Bombyx mori: one gene and its partners. The protein of the gene in region 2 purifies or fractionates together with the protein of the main gene of each other region. This does not show direct contact. Links are inferred from orthologs where the notes say so. Each region holds a gene or a part of one and is shown on either strand. Other genes may lie near its edges.

Region 1 (7,908 bases), on a different chromosome or scaffold from region 2:
CTGATCTTGCCACAGAAAACAATAACTTTACCTTGACTTTGTGCTGTTGGTTAGGCTGCGATCTTCTATCGATCTTCTCAGGTCGGAGCCCGATCAGTCCGTCGTAGTCGGAGTCATACATCGGTATATACGTGCCGCGATTTATTAAGTTCTTCCAAACGCCCTGTACAGAAAGCTAACAGTGAGTTGCGAGAATCTATATATTAATACGTGAAGCAAATACTTTGTACCCATTTTTATGAAAATTCCGCAGACGGAGAAGTATGAAATTTCCCACACTTATTGAGAATATAGAGAAGGAGTGCAGTATGTCATTTTTTTTAAATTATGCATAAGAAATACTTTAAATCAGTAAAAAAAAACATTACACACACTACCATGTATTTGACACACACACACACATTTATACTCTTTTGTTTATTGTTAAAGTCTGTGGTCAAATTGAGAATAGATTAATATTGTTCGTCTTTAATATTATTTATCTATAGTGTAGCCTTGGTGAAATTTGTTATTAAAAAAGTCTATGAAAGTCTTTGACAATAGTCCCTTAATAATGTTCAAACTTATAGTTTACGTTAATTATATTCAACTATCGAGCGACCACTAGTTATATTAGTTATATGATTTAAATTGTATAACATTAGCAATTCGTTATGAGCTTACACACAACAAACAAACAAACCAGTGATCATTTCTATAGATTGGTATATCGGTGGATATGAACGTCTAAAAATGCTCACAACTACAATCTCAAGAGTTTAGGTCATCAACTTTATTCCTGAATCGTTTTTGAGTTTGTCATAATGCCTATCCCTATAAAGCCGCTTTCAGACTACGTTATAATATAATAGCATATAGTATATAGCTCATACCACAACAATAATGTGCACCATGTATTGTTATGGACACATTCACATTGTACTGTACTATATATTATTGATTAAGTATACGCTGCTATACTGTATGGCACTATAGTATAGTGTAGTCTGAAAGCAGCGTAATGCTATTAACCTCGTCAGCAAAAGGCACATCATTGGTGTCGATGAGGAACGTGGGCGGTGGGATGGGTCCGGCGGCCGATAGCGTTCGGTGCAGCGGGAGATACTCATTACTCATCAAGGCTTCTAGCAGTTCTTTCAAGGCAAGGCGGTTCGGTGGACTCCTGGAAACATCATTTGAAAATTTTCATTCAAATTTTATAAACAATTTTAATGAAGGTTTAAGGAAATATACATGTTTTCTTATTGCTTAGATGGGTGGACGAGCTCACGGCCCACCTGGTGTTATGTGGTTACCAGAGCCAATAGACGTCTACAACGTAAATGCCGCCACCATCCTTGAGGCATTAGTTGTAAGGTCTCAGTTTTAATAGTACAACGGCTGCCCGGCCCTTCAAACCGAAATGCATTACTACTTCACGGCAGAAATAAGCAGGGCGGTGGTACCTACCCGTACAGACACATTAGACGTCCTACCGCCAGTAAATTGATTGTTTGTATTAAGTAATAAAATCGTGTTATAATGCTCCTATATTTTTAATGAAGCGGTCGGTACCACCATGTAATATTTTGAATTGAAAGTTCATGAGGTTGTAGAGGGCGAAAATCAACTTGTGATTACTAATAGGTTCCAGTAACACCTTAACTGGGCCAAGGCTCATGCAATAAAATAAAAACCTTTATCAGTCATAACTCAGTCAACTTTTTTTACTTTAAAATCGGCCTTAGCTCATAAGCAATACAATCCCAGAACGTTTTTATAGAAAACTGAATTTACATTACAATATCTCCAGATTTTACTAGGTTTAAATTAATCATGTCGTTTCCTTGCATTAAAACTATATAATCTCAAAACTTACTAATTTTATAGGAGAGTGTTTTAAAGGTTTATAAACATGTAATATTTTTAATACTAATCATCTTCGCAACTTTAATTTTTTATTTTTTACCAGTTACATTATCTGTCTTTTAAAGTAAGATAAAATTATGTATTAATTTAGTTAATAGTAGGCAAAACATAGGTAAACAACAAAAAATAAAAAACTACGCCCTTTTGACAGTATTTATGAGAAAAATACTGGTGATACCAAATGATTCCGCATATTAACTCAATTTCGAGTATTTTTGGAAATTGTACACTTTTAATGCGAAAAGACGATGTGTCTATATTTCATAATATATGTTAGGTCTTACCCATCACTAAGCGGTATCAATGCAGAACAAGTGGCCCGGGCCACAGCACTGGTGTCAGTCAAACGTTCGGCCACAATCGCCTGCAGCGGTGAGTAATCAAACTCCAGGTCCTTAGGAGATACTTCTGTCATCATTACTTGTTTTGCTGATTTTTTCATAACCTACAAATTCGGTAATAACTGATCATTTTTTTTGGTTACATCAGTAAATAGTAAAAACGAGTCTTAGTCTACTGTAAAATTCACGCATTGTCGCTTAGTCACACTTGCCTTCTAAGCGTCGATATATAGGATTTTATTTTAAATAAATTTAATATCATATATATCCAAAATCATAAAGTGAAACTCACATCTTTAATGTTTACAGGCAAGAATCCATGCAGCTGTCCTATAAACAGTCTCTCCTGTGGAGCTAGAGGCAGAAGACCCAGCTTCCCTTCTAGGAGATGCAAGAACAATGGGCTGAATGGGTTTTCTCCCTTGTAGAAGTCATATAGAAGAGCCAGTGCAACAACACGCTGCCCAGGGAGTGAAAGATCTCCGCCCGTAATCAGCGATGACAGGAGCAGACTTACTGAAATTAAATTTATATTCATATATAACTTTAATGATTGTTATTAAATAGATATCAATACAAAAGTTGTGTATGGATACTATCATTTGAAAATGAAGTATAATCCAGCAAACTCTAAATTGGGGATTTCCAAAAAGAGAAATTTATACATTTTATATTCCTGTTATGGTTTGTGAATATTTTCAACAACACATCTCAGGTGATATACTTCAAATTTTACCTGGGTAAGCATGTAACAGAGATGATAAATACCACAATAAGGTTCTGCTACCTAGTTGATGAGCTTTGAAATGTTTGGAGATGAAACAAGCTATCATTCACTAACAACCACAATTAATTACCATTATTTATTTATTTATTTATAACTTCTTATACTAGAAAGTATAAAGGCGGACTTAATGCCATAGGCATTCTCTAACAGTCTACCTTAGGGGAGTGCAGAGATGAAGCTTGGTAGGTGTATTATACAGCTGTACGGTGAAATGGACCACTTATTATCAACATTACATCTTATTAGGGTTTCTTAGTAGGGATATTGCTAATTTACAGTACAACAGTAGTTAACAGACACTAGTCTTGTACACAGATACCCATATCTTTAGGTTGATTTGAAAATGCTAATACATTATCATCCTGAATTTACCACCCTATCATTATTTTCATGTAAGCTACCTTGAAAGGACAAATCCTGTAAGTGTGGTGTGTAAACGTAATGTTGATAAGCACACGGCTAAACTTAAATTCCCAGGAATTTTAATCTTTAAATTTAAGTCAAGTCTCATAGTCCTGCCAGTGGAATTGATATTTAATAAAAATATATTACTCACGATTAAAATGATCGGTCTTCGGGAACTTTTTTTGAACTTGAACACATATTGAATCTAAGCCCTGCGAATCGACTGTCTGTTCGGAAAATAAACTAAAAAGAAAAAATAAATAACAATAACAACATAAACAACTTTGCAAGTTTAATTTCTCGTGGTGTTTTTACTTACTCGAGTATGTATTTACTGTTTTCATTAATCAGATGTTGAGACATTTTATTTATTTAACTAATACTTATCAAATAAATTTATACGCTTAGACGAAACACAAAATAATGAAAATAGAAGTTTTTTAGTAAAAGTCAAAACACAATTCGTTAACAATACAAAATTGCTTCATTAAGAAACAATTATACAAATTTTACAAGTTTATTTATAATTGGAGAATTAGGTACTGTTTGGTACTGTTGTATGTACACTTGATATATCATTTACGAAAACAGTATAACCTTACAAACTTACAACTTCTTTTAGGGCTTGTAGTTCATAAATAGTGTAGGTGTAGTTATATAGTATATTCTGTATATTGAAGGCATTAGCTGTTTAAATGTCTTATCTGTGGCATTAAGCTTAGCTCTACTGTAAGGATGTATAGCTCCTGAGTGAGTGATATAAAAGATATATATCACTCACACCGATAAAATGTATCACTAACACTGGCTCCAAATTATCAGTAACTCATTTATAGCTCACTAGATCACTAGCTCATGAAAGTATCGTGAATTGATGAGCGAACGAAAGAAAAAGGAATGAGTGAGATAGATGCATCGTGAGGCTGGCTGACGAGAATGACCGTTCACTTCACGCTAATTTCATTTCGACGTATTGGGTTGTCAAGGAAAAATGTACATTATTTCTCTAAGAGCAAAGCTTAACATAACTCTTGTATTTTTGAAACTAAATTTATACTTGCTTTATTTTCTTACACAAAAAGCTAGCCATTAATTTGCGAAGTTAATACATATTATGAATAACGCGATGCTTTATCAAAAAATATATTTTAAAAAGTCTCTTAATGTGTCTAGTTCTATGGTAAGCTGCATGTTGTAAATATTTAATGTTTTTTTAATACTTAGTTGGGTGGACGAGCTCACAGCCCACCTGGTGTTAAGTGGTTACTGGAGCCCATAAACATCTACAACGTAAATGCGCCACCCACCTTGAGATATAAGTTCTAAGGTCTCAGTATAGTTACAACGGCTGCCCCACCCTTCAAACCAAAACGCTGTACTGCTTCACGGCAGAAATACGCAGGGTCGTACCTACCCGTGCGAACTCACAAGAGGTCCTACCATCAATAAGTTTAATCATAAAACAGTGTAAATAAACTATATTTTCTATTACTTAGTGTATGAAAGGCCCTGACAGTTATATAATGAACTGACCATTGTAAATATTCCAATACAAAGTGAGTGATATATGTATACTGAGCTAAATAATCTAGGCTAAGAAATGAATTAATTGAGAGACCAATCTATTGAATTGAATCACTGGTCTAGTGAGCTAAATTAGTGATTTGTATCTTTAGCGCGAAATGATATGTATCTACCTTTTCAGCTCAGTGATACATTTTGCGCATGACTATTCTAGTTATTCTTCTTTTTCTTGTCTAGTTCCATTTTTTAAACTTGAAAGGCAAAGGTATCGTACGATAAAGCCTAATCTTTTATATATATATTTATATTTTTATGAAAAATGATTATGTTGTGAAATGAAATGAAGTTGATTAGTTTGAAACACTAATCAATTGGCACGAAAATAAATGAAATGAGATGAAATGATACGGGATGAAATATAATCTCAGTAAATGGTGGTTATTTATTAAAACTTTTTCAGTGGACTTTTTGGAGGATTCAGAGTAGCCACGTCCAGCGGCTTTTTGTTTAATATTCCCACTTTTGTGCACTTTCACAGGTACCAAACAGTTAATAAACCACCGCTATTAGCTTTTAGTTTAGTGTTTAATTTTTAACTTAGCTTATAATGATCCTACCGTAGATAAAGTGTAAACTTTAGAGACACTTAGAAGCACCGATTCGATTCGATCTATTGGGAACATCATTTTTCGTCAAATCGATTACCTATTCTATTAGAACACTATCTACAGTTGTTAGTTTAATATATCCTTTGTGGGACACCTGGTATGTGCAACCTCATGTTATGAGCCGTAACTTAAAGAAAGCCTTATATATGGGGCACCATTTTGGGGACCTAATAAATGACTCATCTGTACTCTTTGCCCGTCCAAACCTCAACCAGATGCGTGGATATATTATTTTTTTATGAATGAGGGATTGCTGGTGGCTCGGAGGCCTTTTCAACTTCATCAAGACAGGAGGGCGAGCAAAGACTTAGTCAAGAGAGGTAGGATTTGCTAAAAGCTGCCCAAGCACCTCCAAAGGAGACCTAACAACTCAAGAGTAGCTGCTTCGCAAATGAATTTATTACCGGATCGGAATCGCTCTAACGGGATAATAAATTGGTATGAAATTAAATGAAACAATGTAATGTAAGATATATATAAAAATAAATTGCTGTTCGTTAGTCTCGCTAAAACTCGAGAACTGTTGGACCGATTTGGCTAATTTTGGTCTTAAATTATTTGTGGCAGTCCAGAGAAGATTTAAAAGGTAGATAAATATGAAAATGCTGGAAATTAAATAAAAATAACAATTTTGTTTTTTCCTTAAAGTTTCCCCCGTAGGACTGATTCCTTTTGATTGTTTTAAGTTTGTTTTATACAAAAGTTTAGGTTTGAGGCACTACGAAGTCTGCCGGGTCAGCTCCTCCTCCTCCTTGCGCCGATAATCCTCAGTGCTGAGGGTCGTGGCCTCCTCTAATAACTTTCTCCTGCATTATCTTGCGCCATTCCTGCCTGTCCTCGGCTGTGTGGATAGCAACGTGGACTGAGGTATTGAGAGTGGAGCGTATTTGGTCCGACCAGCGCATTGGATTTCTGCCTCTGTGCCTTCTCCCGCATACCTTGCCGGGTCAGCTAGTCTAAGATAAAATAAAATCTTAGTAAAACAGTTACTCTTTACTGCGAGTTCGGTGGACTTTTTTTAGGAACCCTAGAATCCACGTCAAGAATCTTTGGTTTATTTTCCAACATTCGTGCATCTTCACAGATGCAAAAAAGTTAATAACCGTTATTAACCGTTTAAATCTGAAGAAACATCAAGAAACTTTAAAACAATTCAACTTGGCTCCTCGCGTTTCTACAATAAAGTCCTAGTACATTATTTATTTCACTATATAGATGGATTTACTCTAGAGCTCATTGGAAGAGCGAGATAGCTGTCGTTCTGTCGCAGACTCTTCGGCAAAAGATTGAGACTATAAATTAATGTTTCAAGGCAGATACCTGCAGGATGCATTTACGTTGTGATATCCACGGAAACCCCCACTATCAGCAGATCGGCAAGTCCCACATACCCCGCGCGCCCTCGTAGGAGGTTCGCCCACCGGCCCGAAAAAAAAACCAGGGAAGCTGGTAACCGTTTAACATCGAAGCAGTTTAGGATACGAAGTCACCTCTACGAATTGACTCTTACGTAACGTAACTTTATTGAAACTTCTGAGAAAGACCTCTAAAAAAGATATTTTGTGAGCTCCTCCGAGATCATATATTGCAAAAGGCTGGTCAGCGCTTTATAGATTAGAGGCTCAAAATAAATGTTGTTTCGATTTCAAATCGCGAGATGAACGTTCACATTCGGCGTTGCGTTGTGGTGTCTTTGTCCTATTAGTGAGCAAACGAGGTCACAGCTCATCTGGTGATAACAAGATATAAATTTAGATGGTTACCGCCACCCACCCACATTTTACACACGAGTCGACCTCATTTGCAAAGCGCTATGCAACAAAAGCGGCACGAGGAGGTCCGAAGACCAAGGTCAGAAAGAAAGAAAGAAGAAGAAAGAAACGCAGAAACGAAAGAAGTGACGCTTATTCGGCGTACGCGGGCTGTTGTTGATATGTTAATGATGGTTAATTGAAAAATCTCTAAGCAGTGCTTTGCATTTCCCTGGATAGCAGCATCATTCTACCGGGCGGGCCGATACACCCATTTCTATTTCCTACGAATTAAAATAAAAACGCATTTAGTAAGTACCTACATTGTGCTGAAAACCTTATAGCTAGGTTGATAGCTTCAAGTCCCTTATTATTATTATTAAGTATGTAAGTAGTGCAATAAATGGTGGCATCAATAATGCCAACAACCAGGTGTATTTCAAAAGGACTGCCATACATTAGCACATCTGAACAAGCTTCATGGCATGTTGTCTTGAGAAAACAGCGGTACACGCCTAGTCTTA
Region 2 (7,931 bases):
TATTAATTTATATTTACTTGGGAAATGATCCGCGACAGACTTTTCGTGTACGTTGTGAGACAATTAAAAAAAACATCTATTTCAACACTTAAAATTAGTTCAACGCAATCGAACAACTCCGAATGAACTTTGACGGAGATCACGCTACCGTGGACATTATTGTTGTCCCAAAGGATTCTGTATATGGGAGAGTAAGCACCTAAATTTGAACGAGTGGGCTTATCTAAAAATAGAAAACAATACGTAACTGATAATATAAATATTTACCAAACAATAAAATAACACATTGATAATTTTAAATAAAAGTTCTAGACAAAAACATCATGAATAAGCCAAATTTTTACCACCAAATTAAAAAAAAAATTGTTATAACTACATAGACAACCCTACAAACCTGTACCTATTTATACTTAGGTCGTTTCCATTTCACGTACTCTCATTCCAATTGACCCCTTTTTCGTTGTTATTTGTACCTAAGACGTCTCTAATATCCCCAAAACAACAGATTTTTACATGTATTTTTATTTTATCACATACATTAAAACCAATAACAACTGAGACTTACCTTTAATATATATGATGGTTCAAACACTAAATAACGTTTATAAATCACAGTCGTCTTCTATTATTATCAAATAAATAAAAGAGAGCAAAGTTTCTAGCACTAAAATAATTACCACCACAGAACGTTAATTTGAAACGCGATTTTTTATAAGTTAGCAGCTATTATCATGCATATTCAGAGTCGTTTTGTAAACTTTCAACATTCTACTATTAAACTACAAAAAATGGAAGATTTTGCAACGAATATGAAACTAATATTGAGCGTCGAAAGATTTTCCCGGTTTTTTCCCGATTCGCCTCTCAATCCCTAATCGCCCCATTTTACGGTACCATTTATTTATTTAAAAAAAGAATCTCGGTCTTGTCACGAGGTTTTGTCAAACTTGTTTAGTCGTTGAGAAAATGGAATTGACTCGAGAAAATTCAAGAGCGATGATTTATTATGACTTTCGAAGTGGTTTAACACAAAAACAGTGTGTTGACCGGATGATTTCTGCATCTGGTGATGAAGCCCCATCCAAAACCACAATTTATCACTGGTTTGCTGAGTTTCAACGTGGACGTGTCAAGCTCAGTGATGATCCCCGTCAAGGTCGTCCAAAAACTGCAGTCACCCAAGAAAACGTTGATGCTGTGCGTAAGCTGATTGAGGAAAATCGACATGTGACATACCGCGAAATTCAGGCAACTTTAGACATTGGCATGAGTCAAATACAAATAATCTTGCATGAACAATTAGGTGTAAAAAAGTTGTTTTCCCGATGGATACCGTATTCGCTCTGTGAAGAGCGAAAAGCGGCTCGCGTTACTTGGTGCGTCAGAACTCTCGAAAGATTCCACACAGGATCCACAAATGCTGTATACAACATTGTATCAGGTGACGAATCCTGGATATACGCGTACGAACCCGAAACAAAAAACCAGTCACGAGTTTGGGTGTTCGAAAATGAGTTAAAGACAACAAAAATTGTTCGTTCACGGAGTGTTGCAAAAAAATTGTGGCCACTTTGTGTCCAAAAAACCGGCCATGTTACGACTATTCCTCTTGAGGGACAAATAACGGTTAATGCAGAATGGTATGCTAGCATTTGTTTGCCATAGGTCGTTTCTGAACTCCGTAAAGAGAACTGCAACCGCCGCATCATCCTCCATCACGACAATGCGAGTTCTCACACCGCGCACAGAACAAAAGAGTTTTTAGAGCAAGAAAACATAGAATTATTAGACCATCCGCCGTACAGCCCCGACCTAAGCCCTAATGATTTCTATATTTTCCCTAAAATAAAGAATAAATTGCGTGGACAGAGATTTTCATCACCTGAAGAAGCTGTGGACGCCTACAAAACGGCCATTTTGGAGACCCCAACTTCCGAATGGAATGGTTGCATCAATTATTGGTTCCATCGTATGGAAAAATGTGTCAAATTTCGCGGAGAATACTTCAAAAAGCAATAAATACATTTTTACATAGTAATGTTGTATCACTTCGTTAATTCCCGAAATTTTCAGTGCCGCCCTCGTATACATAAACTATGTATAGACTTTTTGGCGGTAATTCAAGAAGCAAAGTTGTGTGAATTCTTTTACTTTGTTAATGTAGTGTTTATTCAGTCCTAAATGTGTGTTAATGGTTGTTTATTAACTGTTTAATATCTGCAAAAATGCATAAATTGAGAAAATGAACAAGATATCTGGACAAAGTTTCGCAATAAATAACCACTACGTTTTTGAGACTGTTTTTTAATCCCATACCATTTCGTTTGATTTAAGTTCACTCCTATTGATTAATGTTCCAAATTAATCAACTTCATGGTAGTTTCCCAATTACAGAGCATAATACGACTCAGTGGCACACAATGCCGAATTATGCTGAAGCTTAATTGGAACGTGAATTAGTTTTCAAATGCATCAGCAGAGTGCGCTGTTGTTCAGTGTTGAAAAAAAAATATTTACGGAGCTAGCAACCTCATTAATGTATAAATAATGTGGTAAACAATAATAATTGGTTGAAAACTATTTACGGTTATTTTAAGTAATTTGGATTTCGATTATTTCATTAACATTTTTTTTCGTTTTGAGTATTTTTTAAATGAGTTCTAAGAAAATGATGTGTATACTTTTTAATTGAATCATCTTATCCAGATGACAGTGATGACGATAATTTATCGAGTGCTCCGAGTTTAAATCAATCAATTATTTCATTATCAAGTGATATATTTATTGAAAATATTTATGATAATGAAACAGATGAGTTATTTGAGCCATTAATAAAATCTCTGATGACAGGCAGTACTTTTGAGAGTGCTCGATTGTGCGAAGCGTTGCTGTAGTTGGAACATTCAACGTTGAGCATTATGCCGCATAATGCGCTCTAGTGCTGTTATTGGAAAACTATCCATGATACCTAGGGATGAAAGGCTGTTGGTTTAAACGAAATTTTTGCAACCTTACACGAGAGCCATTTTATGTTTAAAATTTGAAAAAAAATATCATAAAGAAACCTCTTCAGCTATTTGAATGTGGTAAACTTAATTGAAGCTCAATTAAAAACATCGATATGTTGATATGATACAAAATAAAATGCACCTTTAATTATAAAGATAAATGTCGCGTATTAATTGAAATGTCGCTTAAACTAAATAGCTACTCACCACCCGATATAGAGCGAAATGAATTACTTTATATTATTTTTATAAAACAGAATATGCAAAAGATTAGGTTAAATGACTTTAAAATGATTAAGTTAATCCCTTCGCCTTTCTAGTGAAAAAAATATAACTACCACTACATATGCAGGTACTTTACTAAACTTCAAGTGTCAAATTACGTCAAGTTATCATTTTCGGGTTGGGACTTTTAAAACTTGTAGTTATTAATTTAATGAAATAATTATACTACTTTGGTTATTTTGTTATTAATTGTTAATCCGAATAATAAAACTTCAATATGGTAAGTTGTCTTTCCAGTTTCAGTGACCTGGCATACATCATAACAAGCTATTTGTTGTGATGACTAATGCAAGGAAATTAAGAAGTATTTATACTAAAATCGTGCATATATATTTTGTTACAGAGTGACCAACAAATGGATTGTGCACTGGACTTGATGCGGAGGCTGCCCCCTCAGCAGATCGAAAAGAATTTAACAGATTTGATAGATCTCGTTCCGAGTATGTGTGACGACCTATTATCATCAGTAGATCAGCCTCTAAAGATTGCTCAGGATCGTAGCAACGGGAAAGACTATTTATTATGCGATTACAATCGCGACGGTGACTCCTATAGGTCTCCTTGGTCGAATACTTACGACCCACCATTAGATGATGGCTCCATGCCCTCTGAACGCTTGAGAAAACTAGAAATAGATGCCAACCTCGCCTTTGATCAATATCGAGAGATGTACTTTGAAGGTGGCGTTAGCTCAGTCTACCTTTGGGATATGGATCATGGCTTTGCAGGTGAGCACTCTTAATTTAGTCTCTGTAAATTAAAGACATGTATTAGAACAGTAAATTCCAGGGTGGCTGTGCATTACAGAAAAGTAATAATAGTATTTTTATTACTTTAGGGGGCAACTAAAGAAGACTAGTAGAACAGAAACTAGCAATTTTTAGTTCTTTTATATTAATCTGTTTGTTTGTTGAAGCACTTCTCTGGAATTTCTGAATGGATTTTCACTTTGCTTTCATATAGACAGATATTAATTTAGAGATCAATAAAGAGTTTCATAAAATTTAATTTTGCTAGAAAGTTATTGTTAATTTTAAATACTTTTATTATTTACTTTTATACTCTTTGATCTTAAAAGTTCTATAACAAATATCATTAACAATATGAAAGTAACTGTCTATATGTTATGTTTTCATCTCTAAACCAGTATGCCAATTTTTACAAAATTCTGTGGAAATAGTTTGAGCTCTAAGAATAAATATAAGCTATCTTTCATTTCACCACTGGGTATGGATCTCTATAAAGTGTAAAAACTACTTTTAAATAAAGAGTAAATAATATTAATTTGGTAATATTTTTATACTTTTAGTTAAATAATCTCTCACATAAAACATTAATCTTCATGTTTAATTGCATCATCTTTTTCATTCATTATTTTCATTGACACTCTATTTTAATTCTTTGAAATGATTAATGAAATATTAGTGTATATAATAGTATTTTATAGTATAAAATACTCATCTATACACTAATATTTCATTATTTAGTCCACCTTTAAATATTTAAAAATAATAATTACAAATACAAAAATAAACAAAACAATTTCAGGAGTAATATTAATCAAGAAAGCTGGAGATGGTTCCCAAAAGATCAAAGGATGCTGGGATTCAATCCACGTAGTGGAGGTGATCGAGAAGAGTTCAGGACGCAATGCTCACTACAAGTTGACCTCGACTGCAATGTTGTGGCTTCAGACTAATAAAGAAAGCAGCGGCACGATGAACCTTGGAGGCAGTTTGACTAGACAGGTAAATTTAGTTTTATTTTATATGCACAAAGCTTAATAATATTGTGCAGGAGTTCTATTTTTATATTTATGCAACAACAACAATGCAATTGCAGCCTCACAATTGCATTCTGGTACTGCATCCCCAAATCTTAATAAAATTATAATGCCATCATCATCACTATCATTCTCTTGCCCTACTCCCAGTGACCTGGGGTCGGCGCAACATGTTTTCTCCTTCCATACTCCTCTATCATAAACTATTTCTTCTTTACTCCCCTCTTACACATAATATCATCTTTCACTCAATCCATCCAATTTTTTTAGGTCTATCTCTCCCTCTAAAGCCTTGCACATTCACAGTTAAAACTCTTAACAATCTCATTGTCATTTCGTCTTATTACATGTCCATATCATTCCAAATACACACTTCTTAACTTCTCTGTCCCATGTGCCTCTTTCAGACTTTCTGTATTCTATCCATTTACTCTAAAATTATAATATCGTATTTTTAATATTATAGATTATCTTTTGAATTTCAGGCAGAACAAGACTCGACAGTAAGTGATGTGACTCCGCACATTGCAAATATTGGGCGCATGGTGGAAGACATGGAAAATAAGATCAGAAACACACTTAACGACATTTATTTTGGTATCAATTTTTCCTTTTAAATTACTTTATATTTAACAGACAAGTTATTGCCACTTTCAAATTTAAAAGACAAGTTATTGCCACTTTCAAATTTAAAATTCATTCTTCGTTGCACTATTTCCCTATTGCACTATTTCTATGTCATTACTTCTCGTAAGATTTTTCTCCACCTGTTTCTTTTTCTGGTGGTGTGGAGGGCGTTGTGAAATGTCGGACCATGGGCAGGGCGGATCTGGTCGGCCCAACTTATTGAGCCTTTCGAGGTTGCTTCCATTCTTCTTTACACTGTGACCGAAGTAGTCAAGGACTCTGCGAAGACTGCGACTCTTTGAAGTCGTTGTGGCCTAAAGGATAAGACGTCCGGTGCATTCATATCTAGCGATGCACCGATGCTTGAATCCCGCAGGCGGTTACCAATTTTTCTAATTAAATATGTACTTACAAATATTCACGATCGACTTCCACGGTGAAAGAATAACATCGTGTAATAAAAACCAAATCCGCAAAAATATAATTTGCGTAATTACTGGTGGTAGGACCTCATGTATGTCCGCACGGGTAGGTAGCACCACCCGCCTATTTCTGCCGTGAAGCAGTAATGCGTTTCGGCTTGAAGAGTGGGGCAGCCGTTGTAGCTATACTGAGACCTTAGAACTTATATCTCAAGGTGGGTGGCGCATTTACGTTGTAAATGTCTATGGGATCCAGTAACCACTTAACACCAGGTGGGCTGTGAGCTTGTCCACCCATCTAAGCAATAAATAAAAAAAGACACTGAAGGTGATGATTTTGTTTTGTAGGTAAAACAAAAGATATAGTGAGCGGGCTGAGGTCAGTGATCCCGGCGGACGTGGCGCGCCGCACCGCCGCGCTGCAGCACGACCTCGCGCTCGCCCTGCAGCGCCGCCACGTGCAGCGCGACGACTGAGAGCGCCGCCCCCGCCCCCCGCTCGGCACACGTGAGTGCGGACACCGACCACAGACTCTAGAACGAACAGACTTACAATTTAACCTAAAAAAGCAACCCCAATTAAAACGTCTAGAATTAAAATTATTATCCCAACTACAATTATTAATAAATCAAAAATATAAATTACTATCTATATAAATTAATTTATTTATAAATTGACTTCTAAAACCAATACATTTATTCTGCCAAAATAGTTTATAAATTAAATATATAAATCAATCATAAATTCAACATAATTCAATATAATTGCAATATAATTGCAATGTTTAATCCTTTCGTACTAAAATATTATAAATATTAAAAGATAGAAACCAACTTGGTCCACCTGATGGTTGTCTGGAAGAGATCGCTCTTAGCGATAAGACCGCCTATTGTACTTTTTTATTTATCTAATGTTTCGCATTGTTTAATTTTTTTTTTGTGTACTATATAGAATACTCTCTCTCTTTCTCTCTTCCAATTTTTCGATATTCAAATTTTCTTGCGAAGGCGCAGTCGATTGAGATATCGGCCTCAAGGGTATAAGTTCCGACGACCACTGCATTACTGTATCACGGTAGAAATAGGCAGGGTGGTACCTACCCGTGCGGGCCCACAAGGCCTACCGTCAGTAAAACTGTCACTTGTCACAATTTGACAACAATTACACATATCGAGGGGTGAAAGGTCATTTGGTTGAAGCGACATTTTTGCAACTGTACAGGAAGCTAATAAGGCTTAAAAAAAAAAAAATAAAAAAAAAAACTTCAGCTATTTCAATGGCGTTCGAATTCTTCTTAATTGAAATTTGATTAAAAATATCGTCTTTTGATGCTAATAATGGAAATTCGAAATGTCGCTTAAACCTTTATATACATATGTTATAATAGTCTTGCAACCCTCGATATATTTTTTTTGTTTAAATTTCAACTTTAATGATAAATTAATTGATTAAAATTATTTATAAAATTACATTACGCACTATGAACACACAATATTATATGGGAATAACCGCAATTTTTCTGCTTATTTTTTATGTATAATATGTAAAATAATACATGACATACAGCCCGTAGTTGAGATGTTTCATTGTTAAATTACTGTCCTTTTTGTACTGACTTCTAGTGTCATAATACGGTTTCGCAAAACAGGAAACTTTGTAGGAACGTATCTACCGTGTAATTTTTTTTTCCCTGCCTTACCTGATAGCCTTGAGAGGCTATTTCAGCTTCACCCTAACATTTGTAGGTGAGCTCGCGGGGCTCAAACCGGAGAGTTGCTAACACTGATCTTAGCAAAGAGCAGTGCT
Region 3 (7,912 bases), on a different chromosome or scaffold from region 2:
GGTGCTTGGTCACCCGCGCCTCTTGCTGTTAGTGATGGAAATTCGCTTAGGTCCAGAAGTGGTGGTGTTGATGTGTCACCACCTTCACCAAAAACTGAATGGTAGTTGTTGCCAGCGTTGAACCGTGACAGATTACTCATACTCGACTGTAGAAACAAAATATACCCTTTAGTCTCATTTTTAAACATCTATTCTAAAATGAAATATATATAATAAATAACTAAATTTGTATAAAAAGTAGGTAAATGTGTTTTATGATCAAAGCATAGGCCGAATAAATATTCAAAATTTAGGTTTAAAGTAACTATTAAAATTAAAATCCTTAACAATAAACAGCACATAGACAAAAAATTCTCAAATTTGCATATTAATAATTAGATAGTGTGTACTGCAGTTTCTACAAGTCTTAGACACAATAAGTACTTAGTTAGTTTTTTCTTAATAGTTTAATCTTAGATTTATTATTTCCAAACTTCAAACTTTTCTTTGGTGTTATTCAATAACATTTGAAAATTATGCTAACATTCACTCATCATTAAATTTTTATCACTTATGTTTGATTGCTAAAACTAAAATAAATTTACACTTAGCCCAGCAGGCAAGTTTTATAGATTTATATAAATTGTGTTCCCCTAATAAAATTATAAGTAACAATGAAGTTATTTGATTTAAAAAAAGGTTGTAGCTTCATTTTAATCATTACAAAGTGACTGTAATGCTTTTTATAAAATCAGAAAGAGTCAGGTAGATAGTGACATTTCATTCTTTACTAACAAAATAATTAAAACAAGAACTGCAGAACTAAAGTTAAGTCTAACTTAACTAAAGACAAGCTCTACCAAAACTAAAACATGTTCTAGATCTTCATAAAAATTGTCTTAATATCAATGTAAAATAAAATTTGTTGACTGGTAATTAAGATCTTAAGACAATAGATAACGAAAGCAATCAGACCTCTAAAATATTGTATTAGGAAAATAATAAGGTATTGGTAGAGAAGTTTGTTTTTCTACTTCACCAAAGATGTGACCACCCTTGTAATAATGGCAATAATGTCAGTTTGCCTGATTCCACATCTTTTAAAAATAGCTGGGGCTAATTAGATATATTATAATAAAAACTAGACATTTGTCTGAGATGAACTCCAGAACTATGTAATCAATTTATGACTTTTTTTTCACAAAAATGTGCTTTATTACAATTTTAAAGATATGACAGCTTTTATTTCAATATATAATAACAATATTTTTTGTTGCTAATTAATTATTTGTGTAATTTTCAACAAAGGAATATATCGACGCTTGAAAGGTAAACGTGACTAAGCGACAATGCGTGAACTTTACAGTAGACTAATTTAAAGTTGAAATACCTGAGAAAAATTATATTTTAACAAATCTAGCTGTAGGATTGAAATAATTTTAATATACCTAGAAATATATTTGTTTTTCCAGATCGAATATGGTTATTGCCTACCATTTATGTACAAAGCAGTTATTGTCACTTAGTCACGTTTGCCTTTCAAGTGTCTATATACTCTTTGACCTCCTTAGGTTTCTAACAGATGGTGGTGTAAGTTAGCTGACATGATGATTTACTTCAAGGTATGTCTGAATTTAAAGTCTAAGCATTTCATTTATTTAAGTAAAGTTCATTGATATTTATATTTATCAGCAGAAAACACTAATTTGATTTTTAGCCATATACACAATTAATATTTTAAAATACTTACCATTGAATTAGAATTAGCTTGAGATAAAGTTGTTGGCATTGTAACCCTTCGGTCTGCAAAAGCTCGTTGACCAAACAACGTAGCTCTAGATGCCATTGATGGGGGAGCTCCGCCTGGCATTGCAGTTGAATTACGGCCAGGCGACAAGGCGCCCCCAAAAGTTGGTGTCACATGTCCTGAGACACTACCAACAAGACCTGAGCTCACTCTGCCTCCAACGCCACCAACTCCGCCACTAGCTAGGCTTCGAGGCACTTGTTGAAAATTCAAGTTTGCCATAACCTAAAAAAATAAGCCTTTTTACAATATGATATAATTATTGTAGGTAACATTGCCCTAAGCACGTCATTACGGATCTCCCGATCTATAAACGGTGCTTTTAGGTACCTTAAGCACCGGCCACCGTCCTCTCTGAACCTGCACAACCCACTGCTTGTGGCGAAGGGCTCAACGAGTAAATTAACCAATAAACACAGCCCACTGAGTTTCTAGTTGGATCTTCTCAGTGGAAGCTGAAATATCTCCCTCTGCTAGCCTCTCAAGGCTATCAGCATAGGTAGGGGAAAAGGATAACATCTTTATGCTACATTTACCGGAAACCTGACTTGTGCCTAGTGAATGCTTAGATTTAATTTAGTTTTGATCTAAAACATAAAACGTTTCTTAAGCAAAAATACCCATCTACTTGGTAAAAGTTCCTCTTAATAATATATAATAGATAAATGACTACACACAATGGACTATAATCATGTAGTGGACATATTTAATAATTTTACAGAGGTATTGTCAAGGAAGTGTGAGACGAAGTTGATGTAGAATAAAATTTATTCAGATTCATGCCTATTTCATTTACAATTTCAAATATTTAAATCGTGTTCCAATTTTATAAGCAGATATAATTTTTATTGCTCTTACATTATCAGTATCTGGTTCGTATTGTGATTTTAGAGTTCATTTATAAGAATAATTTTCACAATTTAAGTATTTTGCACAAGTAATTACAGTATGTTGACACAATGGTTATATTAAACGGAAAAGCAGTTAAATTCTGTGCCAATATGTGCAGAACCTCTGAATACAATGTTTGTTGTAAATCAGAAAATTTGTTATCAAGTTTGAGACAAAAGAGATCAATTTTGTGTGACTCAACTCTATGGAATATGGGCTATAAATATATAATATAAATAAAACTAATATTTAAATCATGGAGTAATCGGTTGTAAAGTAGTTGGAAATGTGAAAGAGAAAGTAGAAGGAATACTTAACTATATATGGAATTGCATGCTGCTTATTATTAATTTAAACTTTGGTTAAGTGTATGCATGACGTATGAGAGAGATGATAGTTGAAGAGCATCACAAAACTGTTTTCAGTTGAGCATATTATACAGTAGAGAGGATATGGAGAATGTATTAAAGATCAGTAAATGGCTTAGTTGCCCCTGTCAAACAATGGCGACAATTTTTGTTGTGATGTTGTTGGGCTCACTTTGAGAACGTTGTCAATATTTACCTATTATCAGTCCTTGTTCAACTATTTTATAAAGAATAAGAATGGTTCATAATCGCGTATACTCTGCCAAGATAAATATTTCCGCTTCGATGTAATAAACAAGATTTGTTGACTGTCCAATTTTGATGTTTTTTGTGCATTCAAAATTTTAAACACCAATATAAATGGTACATAAAACTGTCTTCGCGTAAAACGCTGCTATAAAACACTGTAAACTTGATACATCTTTACGTCACTGATAAATGTTTTAAAATTTTCATACGATTTCGCTGAACGCCACATTACCCTAAACAACAGGCGGCCATATTGTTAAAAGGTTGAAGAAGCAGACGGAAATTATCAAAAAGCTTCAAAACCAGGCCGTATGAATTAGTTTGTTAAAAAATAAAAATAGTTTTGACAATTTTATTAAATAGTTTAAATAGTATAAATCGTTTTGTCTCTTTATTATAGATCTGTCATTTAAAATTTATACTAATATTTTTAAGAATTTACAATAAAATTATTTAATTTACATTACTATACTACCCATACTAGTGCAATCCGTAGCATCGTTACTGTACATAAACCTGTAATACTGTACATAATACTGTGCTTAAACGTGTATTTGAGAGTTTTATAAGACTCTACAGCATAACTATAAGTAGCAAACCTGATCTTCATGAGTTTGGCTACTGTGCCTCGTAGAACTTCGTTTCTTCATTTCTTATCTTTGTTCAGAATTACTTTAAAAAATCTCTAAATTAGGATTAAAACAATTATTTTTTAACTTAAAGCCTTATTTTTTAAATAATCTAAACTTCACAACCATTATTTGAAAATTATAAACTACCCACCTCCCTTGTCTAAAACTAAACTATTCCTGCAAAGTGCCGGAAGCTTGGTGGATCATTCATCTTTCCTAATGATTCCGATAGGTGAACAGATGAATGGATCGGACGGTCTCATTATAATAAAACCCAACCAAAAAATATTTTAAACATAACTGAAAACGAGTTCGAGTCAGACATCTATTATCTTCCCTGAGGTGTTTTCTGTATCACTGTGAATACAACATTTCCGGCAGATTGGATGGCGTCTGAAAGCAATCTACGCACACATTACGTAGACTACAATCTAATGAAATTTAACTAGGTATATATAGCAAATATTTGATTCTTCGTCCTTTTCTAAATCTTACATTAGAAAATGAAAATTTTAAACAAGGAAAATGTATACGGTGTATAAGATTCAGATCTTCACGAATACTTGGATTTAGAAGCGATTCGTTAATATTTGAAGAGAACATCAGAACCTTTCTTTGAGGAAGCTGCACGGCGTAATAGCCCTCTTATCGTAGCCGCCGTAAATTACATTCCCGACCTATATGATGACAACGAACAATCGTCGTTGCCTTATTCGATCCAGGCCTTCGGCCTTCTTCAACCCAGTCTCAAGTACCCTCCACTAGCGTCGTAAAATCGAAGCTTAACTGAGAGTACTGAACCCCTATGACACTCACTGAGTTTCTCATTGAATCTTGATTCTTAACTGGTAGTAGATTCAGCGAAGCCAGAGCAGTGTTAACAATTTCTTTCAGGTAGAGGTCTGTGAGCTCGCCCACCACTGGCGTTGGTACAGATGGGTAGAAAATCGTTAAAAATACATTTTACCTAGTTCAAATTCACAATTTACAACAGCAGTTAAATTGTGGATTTCATTTCAAAACATTAACGAAAATATTTAAGGATCGGGTGCACATTGCTGTTATTGCAGATTTAACAAAGTTTCGACAACGGTCAGAAGACGGTCCTTCGGTGTGCTTAGTGCAAGTTTTTTAACTTCTCAATTGCGTAAAAGATCTCAAATTTGTATGTAGTGGAAACAGTGCCTCTGGCGGCAAACATGGGAACGCTATCTGATTCCAAAAATTTTATAATAGCTAAAAAAAGTTTATTATATCTTATTTACATAAATAGAACAAAATCAAAAAGTTTTTCTGCGTGCTTTATGACTAGCGACCAGAATACGGCCTCTGCCGACCTAGTTCTTATATCCTTTTCACTTACCGACATCGAGCAAAGAAGGATCGAGATGTATATATTGATTCATATTCTGAATATTTCAGAAAAAATTGTCTATGTCTGATCAATACTTTTTGGCAACACTAAGATCATATGATTGTTCAATAAAGAAGCACGTCTGATAGGCGTAGACTTCTTTCCCCGAGCCAGTCATTAATTTTCTGGCTCTATATCGGCCGTTTTTCGTGTTAGTGGTGTTAAAAATAAGCAGCAGCCATGGCGCTCAGCGATGCAGATGTTCAGAAACAGGTATTTGTTATAAACAAAACTGATTTATCTACAAAATCAAGTATTTTAAGGATTATATGTCACGATCATTGATCGGGATGTGCCATTGTAATTTCGACAACTCATAAGACTGCCTCGACTGGACTTCATGTTTTTGAGCATTATACTCCGTATTTTTGATCAGAATGTTTATATTTTTCAATTCAGATCAAGCACATGATGGCCTTCATCGAACAAGAGGCCAACGAAAAGGCCGAAGAAATCGATGCGAAGGCCGAGGAGGAGTTCAACATCGAAAAGGGCCGTCTTGTCCAGCAGCAACGTCTCAAGATTATGGAATACTATGAAAAGAAGGAGAAGCAGGTTGAACTTCAGAAGAAGATGTAGGTTTCCGTAAAACTAACATACAACCTTATGCATACTCAAAGAACATACGAACGAACAATCATGTGACCAAGCAGTATTGATTACGACTATTACGATTTCTCAAATTGAACATTCAATATGTATTAGGTGTTACAATAGAAAAGTCACAAAATTTCAAACAGAATAGAATTATCAAATAATCTAAAAAATTAGAAATTACGAATAGTAAAAATGAAACAATAATGAGATTTAATGTGACTTTTTATAGAGTAACTAATACATAATAATATAATGTAAATGACATTTTTGATTGACATGGGTGATCGTGACCACTAGCTATCAATCTCTTCATGCAGAGCCTTAAACAGTAAAAAAGAAGCATCACTTTAAAAACATAAAATATTGTGATGCAATTACATTTAAATAAAATCATCAATGAAAAGATGAAAAAAATTCAATTAATTCTATCCAGTATAACTAGTAGTTATAAAATTTAGACAACCACATTTAGAGAAAAACTTCACATTCAAGTTTTACATTGGTTGTGTGAATTGATTATAAAAGTGATAAATGGGATGGAATAATAAAATATAATTATTTAGATAAACATGATATCTTTTCAGAACACTAACACTTTGACATTCTTGTTCTGGGAATGACTTCATTATAAATGAAGATTTAATTATAATTCAAAATAATCTACAGTAGAGTTCAGAATATTTGTTTAAAAAAAATTGAAATGGGCAGATATAATTTCTTTTTAGGTTAAAAATCCATGCAATGTACTTAATAGTATTTATATCACTGAATGGATGATAAGGTCATTACACAAACTCACTATCTTGATAGATAGTTCTGATAAGAAAATCTTAGAAACACTTTTAACATAGCATTTTTTGTCTTAAAATTTAATGTTCTAAACATTTGTCTATGATAATAATGAGTAAAAACAAGAAACAAAATTAAAATTTGAAAAAAATACCAAATTAAAAAATTACTAAAAACCAAAGTCATTAGACTTGCGCAAAACATCACTTCTCAATGTAATGTGATATGACATCACTTTTACAGACAGGTGATATTACTCGAAAACATTACACATCACTCTTAACATTACTCGGTGCGTTCAATAGATACTGTGACGAATACATTGTATCTATACACCCGAATCATTACTTAAGTGATGTGTTCATACTTTGTATTGTAATACACTGTTATATTACTTGACAGAGATTGACTTATTTAATAATATAATAATTTTATTTTTTACTTAATATAATTTGATTTAGTATTTGATATATTAAATTCAGACGTACCATAGGTATAAAAACGTACCTAGCGGCCAGGGCATACGGTTCAAAATCACTAGGAATAATTCCGTGTCGCTTGCTCATTTATTTTGCGTAGATCGGTCTGTCTCGCTCGCTCGGTTCCGTTCGTGTATCAAGCAACATTACACGACAAAGAAAGAAACATGTTGGGTGATAGCTTCGCTAGAAGTAATAGTGTTCTGTGGGTGATAGTGTGATGTTTGTTTCCTTCGCGTAATGTGTGATGTTGCATTACATCGTAGAGTAATATTACCGGAGTAATATCACTCGCATTACTTACACATGTCTAAAAGTCATGTTTCTATTGATAATTTTTCTTTATTTATTTACTGTAAAGTATACTACTATAAAGTATGTGATTTTTTAGGTTAGTAAAGATTATTGATTACATTCTAAGTTATTTTTATCTAAAACGATGAATTATAAATAAAAATGAAGAAGTGCTATTCACTAAGTATCACATTTGAATGATATGAAAAAACAACAAATTATACATTTTACATTTGAATATGAAACGAAAAATAAATGAACTAAGTCATAATATTAATATGAGTTAGATAAACTAGAATCAAAACAATCTAAGTACTGCAGTGTATTTTGTGACGTTGAATTTAAAAATCATAACATACTGCGATATTAAACATATTACTCATCATATACATATAATTTTTTTTTTTTTTTTT

Evidence for each region. The genes of interacting proteins can lie anywhere in the genome.
Region 1: the proteins of F-actin capping protein beta subunit (region 2) and CCR4-NOT transcription complex subunit 11 purify together in Homo sapiens (co-immunoprecipitation; 3 studies listed by BioGRID and IntAct, with this or other methods). This does not show direct contact. The link is inferred for Bombyx mori from reciprocal best matches to the Homo sapiens genes CAPZB and CNOT11.
Region 3: the proteins of F-actin capping protein beta subunit (region 2) and regulator of gene activity purify together in Homo sapiens (co-immunoprecipitation; 4 studies listed by BioGRID and IntAct, with this or other methods). This does not show direct contact. The link is inferred for Bombyx mori from reciprocal best matches to the Homo sapiens genes CAPZB and CNOT2.

Annotation. Positions count from the first base shown.
Region 1 is NC_085125.1:1,941,561-1,949,468, forward strand, and holds the start of CCR4-NOT transcription complex subunit 11, read right to left. Parts: upstream 4,304-7,908; 5' UTR 3,805-4,303; coding exon 3,761-3,804; intron 3,685-3,760; coding exon 3,593-3,684; intron 2,766-3,592; coding exon 2,542-2,765; intron 2,354-2,541; coding exon 2,193-2,353; intron 1,163-2,192; coding exon 1,012-1,162; intron 164-1,011; coding exon 32-163; intron 1-31. UniProt on the Homo sapiens protein: Component of the CCR4-NOT complex which is one of the major cellular mRNA deadenylases and is linked to various cellular processes including bulk mRNA degradation, miRNA-mediated repression, translational repression during translational initiation and general transcription regulation.
Region 2 is NC_085109.1:2,864,592-2,872,522, forward strand, and holds F-actin capping protein beta subunit, read left to right. Parts: upstream 1-3,362; 5' UTR 3,363-3,510; coding exon 3,511-3,513; intron 3,514-3,636; coding exon 3,637-4,021; intron 4,022-4,841; coding exon 4,842-5,041; intron 5,042-5,561; coding exon 5,562-5,673; intron 5,674-6,472; exon of another isoform or gene 6,473-6,473; coding exon 6,474-6,601; 3' UTR 6,602-7,697; downstream 7,698-7,931. UniProt on the Homo sapiens protein: F-actin-capping proteins bind in a Ca(2+)-independent manner to the fast growing ends of actin filaments (barbed end) thereby blocking the exchange of subunits at these ends.
Region 3 is NC_085113.1:7,418,672-7,426,583, forward strand, and holds the start of regulator of gene activity, read right to left. Parts: upstream 4,304-7,912; 5' UTR 3,945-4,303; coding exon 3,894-3,944; intron 2,012-3,893; coding exon 1,730-2,011; intron 147-1,729; coding exon 1-146. UniProt on the Homo sapiens protein: Component of the CCR4-NOT complex which is one of the major cellular mRNA deadenylases and is linked to various cellular processes including bulk mRNA degradation, miRNA-mediated repression, translational repression during translational initiation and general transcription regulation.